Linked DNA regions of Alligator mississippiensis. The protein of the gene in region 2 purifies or fractionates together with the protein of the main gene of each other region. This does not show direct contact. Links are inferred from orthologs where the notes say so. Each region holds a gene or a part of one and is shown on either strand. Other genes may lie near its edges.

Region 1 (8,302 bases), on a different chromosome or scaffold from region 2:
AAGCTTTGGGGCACAAAGTGCCCCTCATGTCTAAGAGCAGGAGACACAGGCTAAGCTAAGTAACAGGGAAAAATGGCTTATGTTTAACTCCAGTATACATTAAAACAGTAATTTAAAGGATTGGAGGAAGGTTGTGAAGTAGTAGCAAAGAAAGATGATCCAAAGTAGCTTCAAAATTAGGGGGATCTAATTGATTAGACAGTTTACTCATGTAGAGGAACAAGATAATTCAACAGGGAAAAGGGTCATTATTACCCTTAGAGTGAAGAGAGGTTAGCTGAGATAACAGGTAGACTGTAATGAGTTATAAAGCCATTATCTCTGCTTAGTCAATAATTTTTAGTGTTCAGTAAGCTTATGGATTTTTGTTTCCAGGCCCATCTTTCAGAGGTTAAATTTATCTATTCTCTCTCCCACCTATATTGGTCTAATAAAAAGTATCACTAAAACCTTGCCTTTCATACATATCTTGGACCATCACATCTACAATACCACCCCAACTGTATTATAATACCAATGATCTCCTGCAGAGCTAGCAAATACAGGAGGAGATAAAATGACTGTTTTCCTCAGCCCTTCCTTGTCTGTAAAACACCGAGGTGGCATCCAGGTACAGCAAGATATTATAACGAACGCTAGCTAAAGGTTAGAAAATTCATAGCAAAGCTAAAATTCAGTTCTAAAATTAAAATAGGTTAAACAAACTGGATACACCACAAGTAGTGGTTTTACATTTTGTCTTTTTTTTTTTTCAGTTTTGCAGTGGTCAGGTAATGTTGCTATATTAGCAAACTGACTCCTGTTTGCTTTATATAGCCACTTTTAGAAAGTATAATGACTTGGCCATTTCAATTTGCAACAGATTGACTTTAGTCTGACCTTCAATTATCTAGACTGAATGTCTGCTGTTTAAACCCCCCCCCCCCCCCCCCAAATGCCTTTGTGGTACTATAGCTCCATTGAATGGTTTCTAGTAATATTGTACATTAGCTGCAAAATTAGCAGACCTATTGGGACTTATTTGATACAAGGTTTGAAGTCAAGGGGGGGTGCAGAATCGAATCCAGTTTTCCCGAATCTCTTCTCCTCTGTTCTAACTCCATTTTTCAATGAGCTGCTTCTTGTTTACAGCACAGTGCATTGCTTAACGTGTCACTAGGAAGGAAGAAAGATGCATCTTTAGCCTGTATCAGCTGACAATGATTTTTGCATTATATGGTCATTGGATAGAGGTAGTCTTGGAAGCAGAGGCTGTAACTGAGGACCCTCCCTTCCCAGGTAAGTGGTTATGCTTCTTTTTCTCTGACCCAGTTCATCTTGTATACTTTTCAGAAGTTAATAGCTTCTTCAGGATAGAGAGGGCCCCACCCAGAACTGCATGGACAGGCAGTCAGGGATGTGGTTTAAATATCCTTTGGCAGCAAAGAGAACTGAATGAATCTTCCACTTCCTGGACAAGTGTTTTAACCGCAAGGCTCTAATAAGAGGGCAGCAGCAATGCTCTAAAAGAAAGTGGTGGTTTCTGCCAGTGTACGTGAGGATGCTGAAAATACCTACCCACCTAGCTCAGGGGTAGGTATGAGCTAAGCACTAGGCCCTTCTACCCTCTCAAGCCTGGGACAGTTCTGGGAATGAGCAGAAGTGCAAGCTCTAATTGCGTGGGCACTCTGACACTATAAGGCACTGTGGCATTTAATCACCGCCAGTTAGGTGAAAGAAGGGTTTTTTTTCCAGGCTCTGTCTTTTTTTTTTTTTAAGTTAGTGTTAAATTTATCCTAATATTCCATTCTGTAATGTTTTAAATCTATTGTACGATGCCAATCCTACATTGAGATCTGTTAGTGCAGACCCCCAAGCCTGTGCCGAGCCCCGTTAAATTCCAGAGAACTTCAGTATGGTTGGCAGCTAGTAACTGTTGGCCTGACATCGGGTCTGATCCAAAGCCTATGGAAGCCAATTAAAGGAATCCTATTTACTTAAATGGGCTCTGAATCAAGCTTTTCCAGAGATGCTGAGCACCTCTAAATGTCAGGCCATGAGTTATCTGAACAGACAGTTTTTAAATGTTTTTGGCACTTTCAAGTACTTTGGCCAAGTCAGACATGGAAAAAAAATGTTACTTTTATACTTCTTAGAAACTAGAATTTCTCAAGCAATTAATCAATCCAATTTTGTACTGTTTGAAAAGAGCTATTATGCATGCAAGTTTCATAACCTTTTTAATGATGCAAAGAACCAGACATCTGAAACCCTGCAAATGGAAGAGCTGCAGCATTTTTACTGAGGTCAGCGTGACCCAATGGAATTACATCAATAGCAGCATCTCGTACAATGTAGAACTTATAATTATTCCACAGATAGCACGCGAGGAGCACCCCGAGTGTAAAAACCTCTTCTTAAAGTTCTCGTGTAGTTCCCAGACACATCAAAAAGGCATGTTCAGGATCAATTTACTATGCAAGTTGTAGGCTGAATTCGATGAGGAAGAGTTGCTTCAAGGAACATATTCCCCAGAAGCATTTTGCAGTTTTTGGCAGAAATCATTGTTGTGTAGGGCATATGTACTAGCCAGCAACTTTTTGGTGTTTGTTTCTTATTTTTAATGATCACTCGATCCTCAAACCTAACAGACTGCGTGGGTTTAAATAGATATATTATTAATTCCGTTGTGGCATGATATGCTAGGCGCTCTCTAGACATATAAGGAACAGACTGTCTTTTTGTTTTGTGTTTGTAGAGCACCTACTACAAGGGTCCTGTGCTGTGACTAGTGCTCCTAAGTGCTGTGATAATACAAGTGATACTGTGGAGTGCCTCAGCAGAATGGGACCTATGTCACAAAGCCCTATTAAACTAGCTGTCTTGGAAGACGTGTCAAACATAGGCAGCGATCTCCTACTTGGCAGCAGAGGCATTGGGTGTTGGCTGCACTCAAGGCTGGCGACTTTGACTGGGCTGTGCCAACGTTCCTGCTGGGACAAAAGCTGGAGGTTCCTGGCTAGCGGGTCTTGCTCCTTCGCTCAGGGTCAGACCGATCACTATATTTGGGGTCAGGAAGGAATTTTATCTTGTGTTCAGATTGACATAGACTGTGGGGGCTTTTGCTTTCCTCTGTAGCGGGGGGCATGGCCCTCTACCCAGGATCACTTGAGCATGCATTGACAACGCTTCATAGAAGAAGGATGTTGGCTGCTGTGGTTCCTCTGCTCGGCCTGTGGCAGGTTAGGGTGCTAGGTCTGCACTGTGTCAGGGTTTGCGGTAGGGTTCAGATGATTGATTGCACAGGGTAGTTTGGATAAGGATGATCCTGCCTCAGGCAGGGGGTTGGACTAGATCAGTGTTTCCCAACCAGTGGGACTTGAAGGTCATGTAGATGGGACTTCAACTCATTGCCCGATTGAAAAAAATCAGTTGTTTGCACGTCAAATAGGTGAATCAACAGATGTCTCCAACAGTGCAATTTTGTGGGGTTTTGTTTTTATCGTGGTAGGACCAGGGTTTTTTGACCAAATGGTTGGTGGGGCATAAGGTGCAAAAGGCTGAGAACTGCTGGACTAGATGACTAGGGACCTAGTTGGACGAGGGACCTCTGGAGGTCCCTTCCAGCCCTCCTGCTCTATGATTTGGTGATCGTCTTGAAATGGACCTTTTACGATCATCCCGAAATGGACCTTTTACAAAAAGCTGAGATTTATTTCTTCTTGTTAACTTGCCTGTCTGTGCCCTGCTGCTATTGTAGTGCCCCCTGGTGCGCTACAAAGCCTGGACATTTCTGGAGTAGTTCCCGCAGCATCTGGAAGACGGAAACAAGAAGTTAAATTCGAATATAGACTTGGGATGCAAGCCGATTCTTATCTTTTTGGAGAACGGTGATGGCATATGGGAACTATCTTGGCTGAAAATGCATCTACATCGCAGATAAACAGTCTAAGCCCGAACGGCCCAATGACCATACACAGCCCTTCCTTCCCGCGATTTCCCAGCTCCTCCAACAGTCCCGCTGACCTGTGGACCTACTGAAGGAGCCAGGGACCCCTCAGTCTCCATAGGGGCACTTGCCTTTATATCGGGGCCTGTAAAACCCTTTTAATTTTGCATCTTTCCTTTTTTGAGATAGAAACCCGTGCCTCCCCATCTCCCTGTTGATTGCAAACATCTTCCTCCCATTTCTATGTCCCGGGGAAGTGCTTTATAGCCAGACCTCCCCTCCCTTCCAGCTAGGGTGGCCGTCATCGAGGACAGTCTGGTTGTCCTCTATTGATACGAAACCCGGCGCCTTTATGTCCTCTATTTTTCTCTTTGAGGTTATTTTTCAAGAGAAAAATAGAGGACATAAGGGTGTCCGGTTTCGTATCAACAGAGGACGGAGGTCAAGTGTCTGTCGTAGGGCGGCCGTCATCGAGGACAGCCCGCTCGCCCTCTCTTGATACAAAACCGGACGCCTTTATGCCCTCGATTTTCCTCTTGAAGAGCCACGTGAGATTCGCCCGTTCCTTCCCTTTCCAGCCTCAAGGAACGAGGTTGAAGTTTGGATGCGACGTTTGGTACAGAAAGGTCACAGGCGGCTGTCATCAAGGACAGCCCGGTTGTCCTCCATCCCCTATCAATACCAAGCCGGACGCCTCGACGTCCTCTCTTTCTCTCTTGAAAAATCATCTGGAAGAGAACATAATCTTCCAGAGAAAAACGGAGGACATCAAGGCATCCGGTTTCGGTATCGACGGAGGACAGAGGTCAAGCGCGGATACGACGGTCAGTACGGAAAGGTCACGGGCAGACGCCCGGTTTTCCAAAACCAATCTCGAAGAGAAAAACGGAGGACACGGAGGCGCGGGGTTTGGCACCGACAGAGGACGGAGGTTGAGTCTCTGTCATCGAGGCCAGCCCGGTCGTCCTGTCTCGATGCCGAGCCCGACGCCTTGATGTCCTCCGTTTGTCTCTTCGGGGTTATTGTCTCTTCAGGATTATTTGTCAGGAGAACAGCGGGGTGCGGGGCTGGGGGCCACACGGCTGCACCCCCTCCCCTCCCCTCCCCCACCCCGGGCAGGGCGAGGGGCAAGCGGCGGTTGACCCCGCCCCCCAGCATGGGAGGGGGCGGGACGGGGGAGGGGGAGGTGCCTCCTCCTCCTCCTCCTCCTCCTCCTCCCCGGCGCCGGCCCCGCTCATGGCGCCGCTGGGCACATCCGGGCCTCTCCTCCTCCTCCTCCGGCCGCCGCCGCTGCCCTGAGCGCCCCGCGCGACTCCATTAGGCCGGGCCCGGCGCGGGGCGCGGCGGCGACATGTCCAACCCGGGCGCGCGGAGGAACGGGCCCGTCAAGCTGCGGCTGACAGGTGAGGCGCCGGGCCGGGCCGGGCCGGGCCGGGCCTGTGGGCGGAGCGGGGCGGGGGGGGACCCGCCGCGTGAGGCGAGCCGAGCCGAGCCGAGCCGAGGGCCCGGCCCGGCGGAACTCGCCCCGAGTGCGGCGGCCTCTTTTGTCCGGGCTCCCGCCGCCTGCCCCCCACCCCCAGCCCTGTCACTTCTGCGAGTCCCGGAAAAATTATTTAAAAAAAAAAAATAATAATAATAATTTAAAAAAAAATTGTTGAATCTGAGGAAAAAAAAACCCAAAAACAAACCCCGGTTTTATTTTGTCGGCCCGTTTCGTGCAGTCAGAGCAGCCCCGCTCGCGGCCAGCTCGTGTCGCGCCGCGGCAGCCAAACTCCTCTGAACCCGACTGGGGCAAGGATTTTGCGAGCGAGGGGGTTTTTTTCCCCCCCTGAGGAGGAAGAGCGAGTCTTTTTAAAAAAAAATAACCTGGAAAAGTTTGCAGGGTGCGGGGGAACCCGTGTGTTTTATTGAGCCATTTATTTAAAACAATCCGTGGATCTCACGAAGGAGCCGGGGCGTCCTCCTCTCCTGCGTAAAGACGCCGCAGAGGATTATGAGTCTGGGCAAAAAAAATAAGCCGCGGGGCGCCGCGTAAGGAAGCCGGGCGGGCGGGCGGGCAGTCCGCAAAAGGAGTGTGCGTTTTTCGTTGTGTTGTCTTTGCGTTCGCTTTTTAACGAGCCCAGAAAGACGAGGGCAGGAGATAGGGTCTCGAACGAGCATCTTCCAGCGTTAGCAGCTGTCCGGGGAGCGACCGGAGATGTTTTGGGAAACGTCGGCTTGTCTCGGGAAGGACCATTGGAGGGGATGGAGGTATTTTGGACCGGGTCTGCTGTAACCTGGTTGAAACGTCGCGTCGCTTGTTATAAGGAAGTTGTACGCGCTTTGGGAAAGTTGTTAGAAGCACTGAATTGAATGGACGTGTTGTCAGGTCTCGCGTCTCTTCCCAGGCAAGTACTCGGTGTGGTTTTGATGGTCCTTTTCGACTGGGAAAAGCAGCGCAAGGACCCTTGAGTGCTCGCACTGACTGGAGTTAAAATGCATATGGTTTTTTTTAAAGTAGTTTACTCTTCAGATCTGCCCCATGGTGTATAATCCTAATTTTCTTTGTCTTTATGAAACTAGCAGTCTTCTGTTTTGGCTTGAACGCTTCAAGGATTCATTCGATAATCAATGTGTAATACTGACTTATTTTCTGTTTGTTATCTCTAAATGAGATGGTATAAATGAAAAAAAATGGATTTCAAGAACTGGATTCAATTAGCATTTTTTTTTTTTCAGGACATAAACATTAAAGGTTTAGATAGAAAACATAGTTTTGACTGACTGGATAAATGGCAGGGTAGTGTTTGATGCGAGTCCAAGAACTGATCTGGAGCTAATGCCCAACCTCTTGGTCCATCTCGAGGAGCCAAATAAAATATTTAACCTAGGCCTCGTTTTGCAGAAAAGGTTGATTCTTTGTTGGGACCTTAAGTGAGTTCTGAGAAATGTTTGGCATACCTTTACACTAAGTGTTTAACGGTTTATTTAGGTCTGGGTTCCAGAATAGAGGAAAAACCACTGTGGTGGCATACTTCTAGTAAGTTTGTATTTAGCTTACAGTGCATCCCGGCTGTTTCTTCTGTTGCTTTTAGCTTTATTTGTATGTCATAAGTATCCCCTAATCCCTTAATGACACACATCGGAGTCTCAGGCACAGCCCTGAGCCAGAAAGTTGCTGGATAGTAGACAGTTACAAAAATCTGCAAAAGTAGCCTGGTGAAGATTTCTCATGAGAATAATAAATGCTGGATTTCATTAAGAACGTAACCAGTATAATTCAAGCTAGTGTCAGCTCAGAAGTTGGTCATAGGTTGTGTATGTAACTGTGTTTCCCAAAGCTTTCCAGTCTTGCTACCACTTCCTCAGTTCTGTCCCTTGGACCAGTAGAGTAGACTGGGCTTCTGCAGCCATGGATGTTTTTTGCCAGTTTTATCTAGTCCTTAGAACACATTATGCTGCACTGATTTAAAGACTCCAGCTTTCCCCCCACTTCAGTTTTCTGATGTGATTTATTTTTTATTTTTGTAACTAGTCAGAACTTCCATGATTTCTTGAATGTGGAAGTGAATCTAAACTACTTGAAAACTGGCTCAAGCTGAAACTTTGAGTTTTCGGTTGGAATATACTATTACAGTAGGAATATCACAATGTTTGCTTGGAATACAGTATTAATACAGTGCAGTGTGGGTAGGGAGAATCTTTTATTCTTTGAGGACTAGACAAGCATATTGCATACAGCTGAAAAGTTGGTTTTCCAGTAGTGTCCAGTAAGTACATTTGGGCTGTAATTTATGATTTACCTTTTAAAATAGTAAATGCAGTGACTTTAAGTGCCTTTACTTAGGGATATATTTGGTAGCTATGTTGGTCTGAGACAAAAAGAAATGCAAAACTCTCTAGAACTCTTGGTTCAGAGATGATATCTTTTATTAGCCCAACTAAGAAATCGCCAAAAAAAATCTTTTTGTACTTGCGAGGAGAATATCAATCAAAATGACACCAGTAATTTTTGAAACCTAGAAAAAATCACAAAAATGTAAGTGAAATCTGTTAATTATTGTGGTATAACCTCATACATATTGGGGAAAGGTGACGGACAGACTGGATTGATCACCTTTGCATAGTCCCTTGTGGTTACTTGCCAACTTGTGTGGTATTTGTGGCATAGCATAATTGGTAAACTTTTCCAGAGAGAAAACTAGAAGTAGAATAACAGTCCCTTGTGGGTTAGGAATGAGAAACAATTCACACTGGACAGTCTGGGGAGGTCAGTAGAGGGCCTGCCTTCCCCTTTTACTGTACACTTGTGGAGCCTTGACAAAAACATGGAGAAATTAGATCTCTTTTCTATAAAACTGCCAGTGTCTCATCTTTTGTTTTACTGTGTCTTCT
Region 2 (7,382 bases):
TGAGCAGCAGGAAAGAAAAAAACAAAAAAAAAAAAGAGGCATGGCATATGAACTGGTTCACTGACCTCTGCCACCAAAGCATCCCCTGCTCTGGGATGAATCTGGGTCAGGTTCGGGAACACTTTGCAGTGGTGGTATAGCACAAAGCAGTTGTAGGGCCGTGTCGAGTCTGGGAATTGTTAAGTGTAAATGTATCTTTTATCCAAGGAGCTAGAATGATGCTGAAAAATTATAGCTCCTTCTGGATATTCCATACACCCTATTAAAAAGAAAAAAGACCCTTAACACTAAATACAAAATAAGCATTTAAGCAACAGCACCAAGCTGTCTTGATGTGTCGACTCCAAATCAATTTAGGGTTAAGGCCAATCTTTTGCCTAAAGTTTTTTTTTTTTTTTAATCTTACCAGTGATTTGAGATCCTTCAGTTTTTTGGGCATCTGAAGTGACAGCACTCTGAAAATCAGATGCCTGTAAGATATTTCAATGTGGGCTCCTGAAATGAGTAATTAATCTTGCCAGTGTAGGCCCCACATTTAACTGGTAAACTTAAAATAAGTTTATCTAGTTTGTTTAATTAGAGGAGAAAAATGGCTATAATCTTCAGAGCATGTTTTATGAGAATGCCGTGGTTCAGAGCGAAGGCAGGACTGCTAGCTTAATTTAGAGGCATTGGCAACTGTGTATAAAAAACACACATTCTGTGTTTCACATGCAATCTTTCTTTTCAAGTGATGATTTAATTAGCTGGATCTGTCTGAATTAAAATCCACTCACTGAATTCCTCTGAGTTTTACACTTCTACTCCCATATGCTGTGGCTGCTCAGTGTTGTTAGCAACTGTGACCCTAATCCCACTGCAACAGGGATGCTGACGCACACAGTGATAATATTCTATTACCAGCAGAAAGTTCCCTCGGAAACAAACCTGGAGCAGAAAACAAGAGGTCAGGCTGCAGCTTACCGCGAGTGTATTAGCATCTGGAAGGCATTGCCCAGGTTGGTTGGCATTTAACTTTGCAAAGTTAAATATTTATGGCAATGTGCATTTGTAATTTTTAAAAGTCAAAGGGAGCCTTGGTACTGATGTTCCTAGTGAATGCCTAGCCCTGAGCTTTCAATGTCTTATGTATTTTTATCCCGGGCTGCAGTTTCCCGTTCAGTCAGGGTGGGAGAGCCCGCCAGAATGAATTCCACCTCTGCGCCCAAGTGCTTTGTGTTGTCTAAATCCTACATACATGCCCAAGATAGGGTTTAAACGGGGTGTATAAACCTTGTGCTGGGCCCTCTGCGTAGGGTGACTTTAATCTGCCATGTCTGAGGCACTGCTTAAATCCTTATCTCTCCTGCCTCCAGGAGGAGGATTAATGCAGAGAAGTTGTACCAGGCTTGATGGTGGAACTGTAACAGCAGGAGCCTCCATGATTCCCTCCAGTGCATCTCCACATGGGGTTGAGAGCTGTTTTCACTAGCAGTTGTGAACAGTTGCTCTCACACATTAGTGACGGGAGCCATATAGCAACCCTGGTAGGTAAACACTTGGATGCATCAGTGCTTGGTTCAGTGCCAGATGCTGTGCTAATGGACACAGCTGAATTATTCAGGGCCAGATCCTGCCTCCATCCATAACAATAGGAGTTTGCCATTATGCATAAATAGATGTCCCCGGTATCTCGCTCTTATTCTCTCTGCATCTATAATGCATCAATGCTCTTACTGGGAATTCATAGCATTTTTTGGAGAAAAAGTAAATGAATAAAGGATGTTTGGGGAAGACCAACATTATTTGCAATTTGGGGTTCAATGTGACGCACAGTTTCAGCCACAAAAAATGGGGCTAGGGGAGGGATAGAAAAGTGGAAAACATTGCCAGGGTAAAAATTAACATTTTGAAATGTTTAGAAAGAGCAGGTCATTTGAGAAAAGTCAAAACATGGGTTTTTTTGGTCTTTTCTAAATACATTTCAGTGTTCAATTTAAAAGACACTTTCCACTAAAAAACTACAAAAATAAAAGGTGAAATAATCCAGAAAAAAAAATTAAAAACATTTATTATTTTCTTTTCTACATAAAAATGTTGTAATGCTCATTTTAAAAAACAGTTTTCTGTCAAAACTACAAAAAAAAAAAAAATCACCAAATTAAAAAAAAAAAGGAGAGGGGGGAGTTTAAATAATCCAGAAAAACAAATCTAAATATCTTGATTTTGATAGAATAAAACATTTGAGGTTCACCCCTAAATTACTGTTATTGTTAACAGGGTCCTTGGCCATCTGCTCTGAGGCTGAGCCAATCTCAGATGTGATGTTAGAGATCACTGAGAAGCCTCCGCACCGGATGCCCACGTACCTCCACGTGGCTACTGAATTCAAGATTCAGTCGTATAGATTCAAGCCAGAGTCATATAGCCCTGGCGTGGTTTTAATTTAAAAAGAAAAAAATAGCTGATTTTATGGAAAAACCATTTTTGACCCGTTCAAAAAAAAAAAAAAAATTCAGCCAGTCCACCTCTCCCTACTGCCCAGACTTGAGTCAAGTTCCCAGATGGCCCCTCCACAGGGAGCACTGCCCTGATGTCCTCGTCTGCTTGGCTGTTGCATTGTACCTAAACTACCCCTGTCCTCAAGCCTCAGAAAAGACTGCTTCCTGCCCCATACTGTGAAGAGGTGTGGCTGTGAGCTGTTAAACCTCTCCAGATACACTGGCTGAAGAGATACTTCATGGTAGCATCTCTCACAGGAAGCACTCAGCCAGGGTGACTGTCCTCTCCTCTAACGCATCAGCAACACGCTGCTGGGGCTCAGTCTAGCTGGCTCCTTTTGGAAGGCACTTTGGGAGCTGTCAGGAAGAGGTGCTGGACCAGCCCTCGAAAACCGTTGAAACAAATTCCCTTCAGATTCTCGCACCTCACTTTTTACCCTGGTAACCGGCCAACGCATTGCAATGGGACTTGCTTGGCCCTTGGAAAGAAACATCTGTCTGCAGCTGGTTGCAAGCAGAGGACAAAGCGCATGGTGCTGTGTTACATACCCAGGAACCACCAGACAATTTAGACGTGAGAATATGGATCTCGGGGCTGCTACTGCTTTGCGCCAGGGTAACGATAGGCCGCACCGAGCTGCTGCTGTCATCCAGGTCACGAGGAGCATTGGGTGCATTAGTCGAAAGCAGTGATGCGCAGCCAGGGTACCGCCAGGTCCTTTGGGCATCCTGAGGTGTGAAGAGCAAAGCAGATAAATTCGGACTTAGGCTTGTCCCTGCCTGGACCATCTCCTACCCCAGCTGTCGGGCCTCTCTGCAAGGAGGTAAGCGCTATAATCCAGCAACTCATTTTTGGAACGGTGCCACTTAGTTCACAAAAGTTATGGACGGGGCCTCGTGTCCCAAAGGTTGTGAACCATTGGTCTTAACATCAGTGGGCCTTTTTAGGCCCTGAAGGAGGGTGCCGGTCCTCTGTAATCTGCTGCCAATACACTGCTGGGCAGGACCCGATTAACCCTTCAGCAGGCTCTAGACAAACTCATGGGCTCCTAATTTTTCTCGCTCAGTAATTATAACATGTAAAATAAGCACAACTGGGCCCCTTCTTTACTTACGGCTTGTGCTTACTTTGCCTACGCGTTCATCCGGCCCTGCTGCTGGGGCTCAGTAAAGCGGGCTCTGGCAGGTGCTTTGGGAGCCTTCAGGACTAGAAGTGCTAGATGAGCCCTCGAAACCTGCTGAAACAAATTCACTGCAGAGTCTCACACCTCACCTTTAAAGGGTGCCTAAAAGCTACTGTTGCGTGGCACTACCCAGAAAGGAGACCCAGGCTGGAAGTGGTCTCCTTCTTGGACACCATTAGTTTTCCATGCTGGCCCTCCCTTCTAGCCAGCAATGGGGGAAGGTGGTGTGCTCAGGATACTCTTGACCACAGGGATCACTGATTACTTTCCTTCCCTTCTCTGGGCTTCTCCCCCCTGGCACTCAGTGAAGAGGTGTTAATGACACCCTCCCCCCCCAAGCTCTCTCGGATCCCTGGGAGATGCGCTGTTAGGAGCCCGGAGATCAGCGGGGACCCCAGCTGCACGTGCCGGGGGTGCCGCTGCCCCCTCACCCGCCCCACCCGCGGCTTCCCTGCGCGGGGAGCTGCATTTCAGGCCGGCGGCCGCTAGGAAGCCGCTGCCTCCTCCCGCCGTGCCGGAGCTGAGCGCAGCCCCTGCCATTTCCGAGGATCCCCTCCCCACCCCCCTCACCCCCGCCTCCGGCAACCAGCCCCAGCCCCGGCGTGCGGGGGCAGAGCCTGAATCGCGGCTCCGGGGGAAGCTCGGGCGGGGCGGGGACGAGAGGCAGAGGGGTCTGCACGCCCCGCTCCCGCCCCTCCAGCCGCTGCCGGAGCCGAGCCGAGCCGAGCCGAGCCCCGCCGGCCTGGGAGTCGCCGCCGCCCGGTAAGGGAGGGTGGAACGTTGGGGACCGCGATGGAATGTTGGGAGCGGCGGTGGAACGCTGGGATCCCGGCGTGGAACGCTGGGGATCGCACTGTAGCCACTTGGCTCCCTTTGTGCGGCCGGGCAGCGATCCGATCCGGTCCGGTCCGGTCCCCCGGAGCCGGGCGGAGAGGCCCTCTCCGGCGTGCGAGCGCTGCGCGGGGATTTGTTTTGTCGGAGGCGGGGGAGGAAGGAGGCGGTTTTTTTGGGTTTTAGTTTTTTTTTTTTTTTTTAATCCAAGCGATCCCCGGCTTGGCAGGGCGGGGATCCCGGCAGCGCTGGGCACGGGGCGCCGGGTGAGTTGAAGGGAGGAAAGGGGCACGGTTGGGAGCTGCCGTCTGCGAGGGGCTGAGGCATCTTTCCCCTCCCGCAGATCGGGGGCTTTAGCTTCATCCCTCCCCACCGCCTTTGCTCCTATTACCCGGCTGAGATGTGTGATAGAGGAGGGGCGGCAGCAGCCCTGGGGTGGGTAAGAGCACCCCAAGAACCTCTGGCATCCCCCCTTCCCCAGCTCTCCCCAGAGCCTTGTTTCCCCACTCCCCACCCGCCTGCTTTGCAGTTGTTTCATGCTCTTTATTTTTCCAGGCCCTTGGAAAGTTGCATGCCAAGAAACTGAGTCCAAATCCTTCTCCAGCTCTTTGGGTGTCTGGCTGCCCATGCTGCTTAGTTTGAGACCTCAGCTGTTGGATGCCCTCAGTGTTTCAGGGAAGGGAAGTTGTTGTTGGTTTTCTGTTTCCTGGCTCCTTCAAATCCACCATGCCCGTTTGATGCCACCCAGGAGCGATCCTTTGCCAGTGAGATACTGGAGGGCTGCCCTTTATGCGGTGTGAAAGTTCAGGATTGCGCCCAATAGCAAACTGCCTTGTTGTCCTTGTTTTGCGTTTGGATTTGGAGTTGTCTTTCCGTGCCTAAAATTGTTTCTTAATGGTCCGAATCGCTGCAAGCCAATCGGCAGCTTGCATTTTGGTCACAGAGCCCTGGCACTGTTGCACGTTTCCCCTGTCAGATACAATGACACCCCCCCCCCATTAACCGTATGTTAGGCAGAACAGAAATTAAAAGAATTGTCGCTGGAAAAATGCATGCCGCTTTGTAAATAGATGCTGGAACCTCCCTCCAGCGCTTTTGATGAATTACTTTGTCTTCGCCGTGGTGTTTCTCACGTGTTACAAGACCGTTATCCTGTGACAACATTTTATTCCATTGACCTATCTTAATGAAATCTTTCTCATCCAATCAGATTACCAGAGGGTTGACCTAGATATCTAGATTCAAAGCCAGAATTCCAGTGCAGAAGTCAAATGCAAGGGAAAAAAAATTCAGCAGAACTCTTTGTCTAGCGAAGATGGCTGTTTTTGGAAAACGACTTTGCTTTTCATTTGTCGCTCACTCCAACTGGATCCGCACGTTGCCTTGGAACTGTTTGAGTCTGATAGAAGGTAGAGAAGGAAACAAACTATTGCGCCGATTTATCTCAGTACCTTTCCCACATTTGTTTTCAGCCTCCGAATGCGCAGTACTTATACTGAGTCCATGGGACTATTCCCATTACTAGGGCTAGCTGGGTAGATTCCCAGGTCTCTGGTGAGTTCTGCTGTGGCTGTCATTTCTAATATTTACTGGTGAGAGGGGTCCTGTTTTTGACAGGCTCTGCCATAGGGATCTATTTTCTATAAAGAAAGGTAAATTGTAATGATCTTAATTTATAATAATCATGCACTGACTGCAATTTAAGATGCTATATGGACAGTCTGCACCTGTAGAGCTAACCGTTTAAACAAGAGGGAGGGAATCGATTGGCTAAACTGAGAAACTCAGGAGGGCTTAGGAAGGGGTAGGATGTCTATATCCAATTGGTCTACACTAAGCTGTAGTGATTGGGTCTGCCGCACTAATAATTCTTGGCACTCGCTGTTTGTTTTATTTGATGTCGTTAGTTCCCTACCCCCCATGCACTTGCCTTTAATTTATTTTTGCATGATCTAAAACCAAAGGAAAAATAAGCCCTCTCTAGCAGTGGTGGAAATGTACTGCTCCAGTGACTGTAAGTAAAAGGGGCAGGGTTTGCACCCTCCTCTTGTTTGGACGGGGCCTGACACAGTGGCGCCCTGTCCCCGAGCACTCCAAAGTAAATAATAACTTGATTTATCTGTTGCTTTGCTGCTTCCTCTAATACGTGCCTTTGGAAAGCAGGCGCCACCTTTAACTCGGCTTCCTTCCATGCACCTCTTCTCTCTGATGGAAGTACTGCACGGGTTGCGGGGGGAGTAGCCATATTCTTGGTGCTACTTGTCTGCTCTTCTTGGGCCAGCTCCACTGACAGCCACCACTGATGCATACACACGCACAGAAGGGGATTCGGGCATCAGCTACTCAGATACCACAGTGCTGAAGCCCAGGATAAATGCCAAGACAGCTATTCCTTGTGACCTGCTGCAGCTGGCACCTTTCTCTTCCCATGTGCTTGCAAGCAACATGTGTGCAGGACAAGTCTGGGGTCTGGGACATTGTGGGGTTATCTTTTTGTTGGCTCCAGGTTGGCTGCTTTGGCTGTGTCTCTGCTGCTCTGCTACAGTGCCGGGAGACACCCTGCTGAGATGTCGGGCTCACTTTGTGTGTGTTACCTCCTGACCTGGAAGAAGCCTGCCCGCCTACATGCTGCCTGGCCTGTTTGTTCAGAGGCCCTGTCTCTCAGCGCAGCTTGCTGGCATGCTAACACAGCTATGCCCTGCTTCAGGAGCGAGTGCAGCGTCCCCCAGGATGGTGCCGCCTGGCATCAGAACTGGGGGATGGCGACGGACCCTTTGTGTCCCTCGATGCAAGTCTGCTGTTGTCTGAAAGCTCGCCAAGCTCTTGTGCTGCATCCCAGCAGGCTGGATTTCTGTGCTCTTATGCTTCCCTTGGTCCGAGTAGGCTC

Evidence for each region. Proteins that work in one complex are often made in the same cells at the same time.
Region 1: the proteins of CUEDC1 (region 2) and SMURF2 purify together in Homo sapiens (co-immunoprecipitation; 3 studies listed by BioGRID and IntAct, with this or other methods). This does not show direct contact. The link is inferred for Alligator mississippiensis from reciprocal best matches to the Homo sapiens genes CUEDC1 and SMURF2.

What each region holds. Positions count from the first base shown.
Region 1 is NC_081831.1:6,313,828-6,322,129, forward strand, and holds the start of SMURF2 (E3 ubiquitin-protein ligase SMURF2), read left to right. Parts: upstream 1-5,137; 5' UTR 5,138-5,279; coding exon 5,280-5,331; intron 5,332-8,302. UniProt on the Homo sapiens protein: E3 ubiquitin-protein ligase which accepts ubiquitin from an E2 ubiquitin-conjugating enzyme in the form of a thioester and then directly transfers the ubiquitin to targeted substrates.
Region 2 is NC_081837.1:6,110,479-6,117,860, forward strand, and holds the start of CUEDC1 (CUE domain-containing protein 1), read left to right. Parts: upstream 1-4,197; 5' UTR 4,198-4,426; intron 4,427-4,668; exon of another isoform or gene 4,669-4,761; intron 4,762-7,382.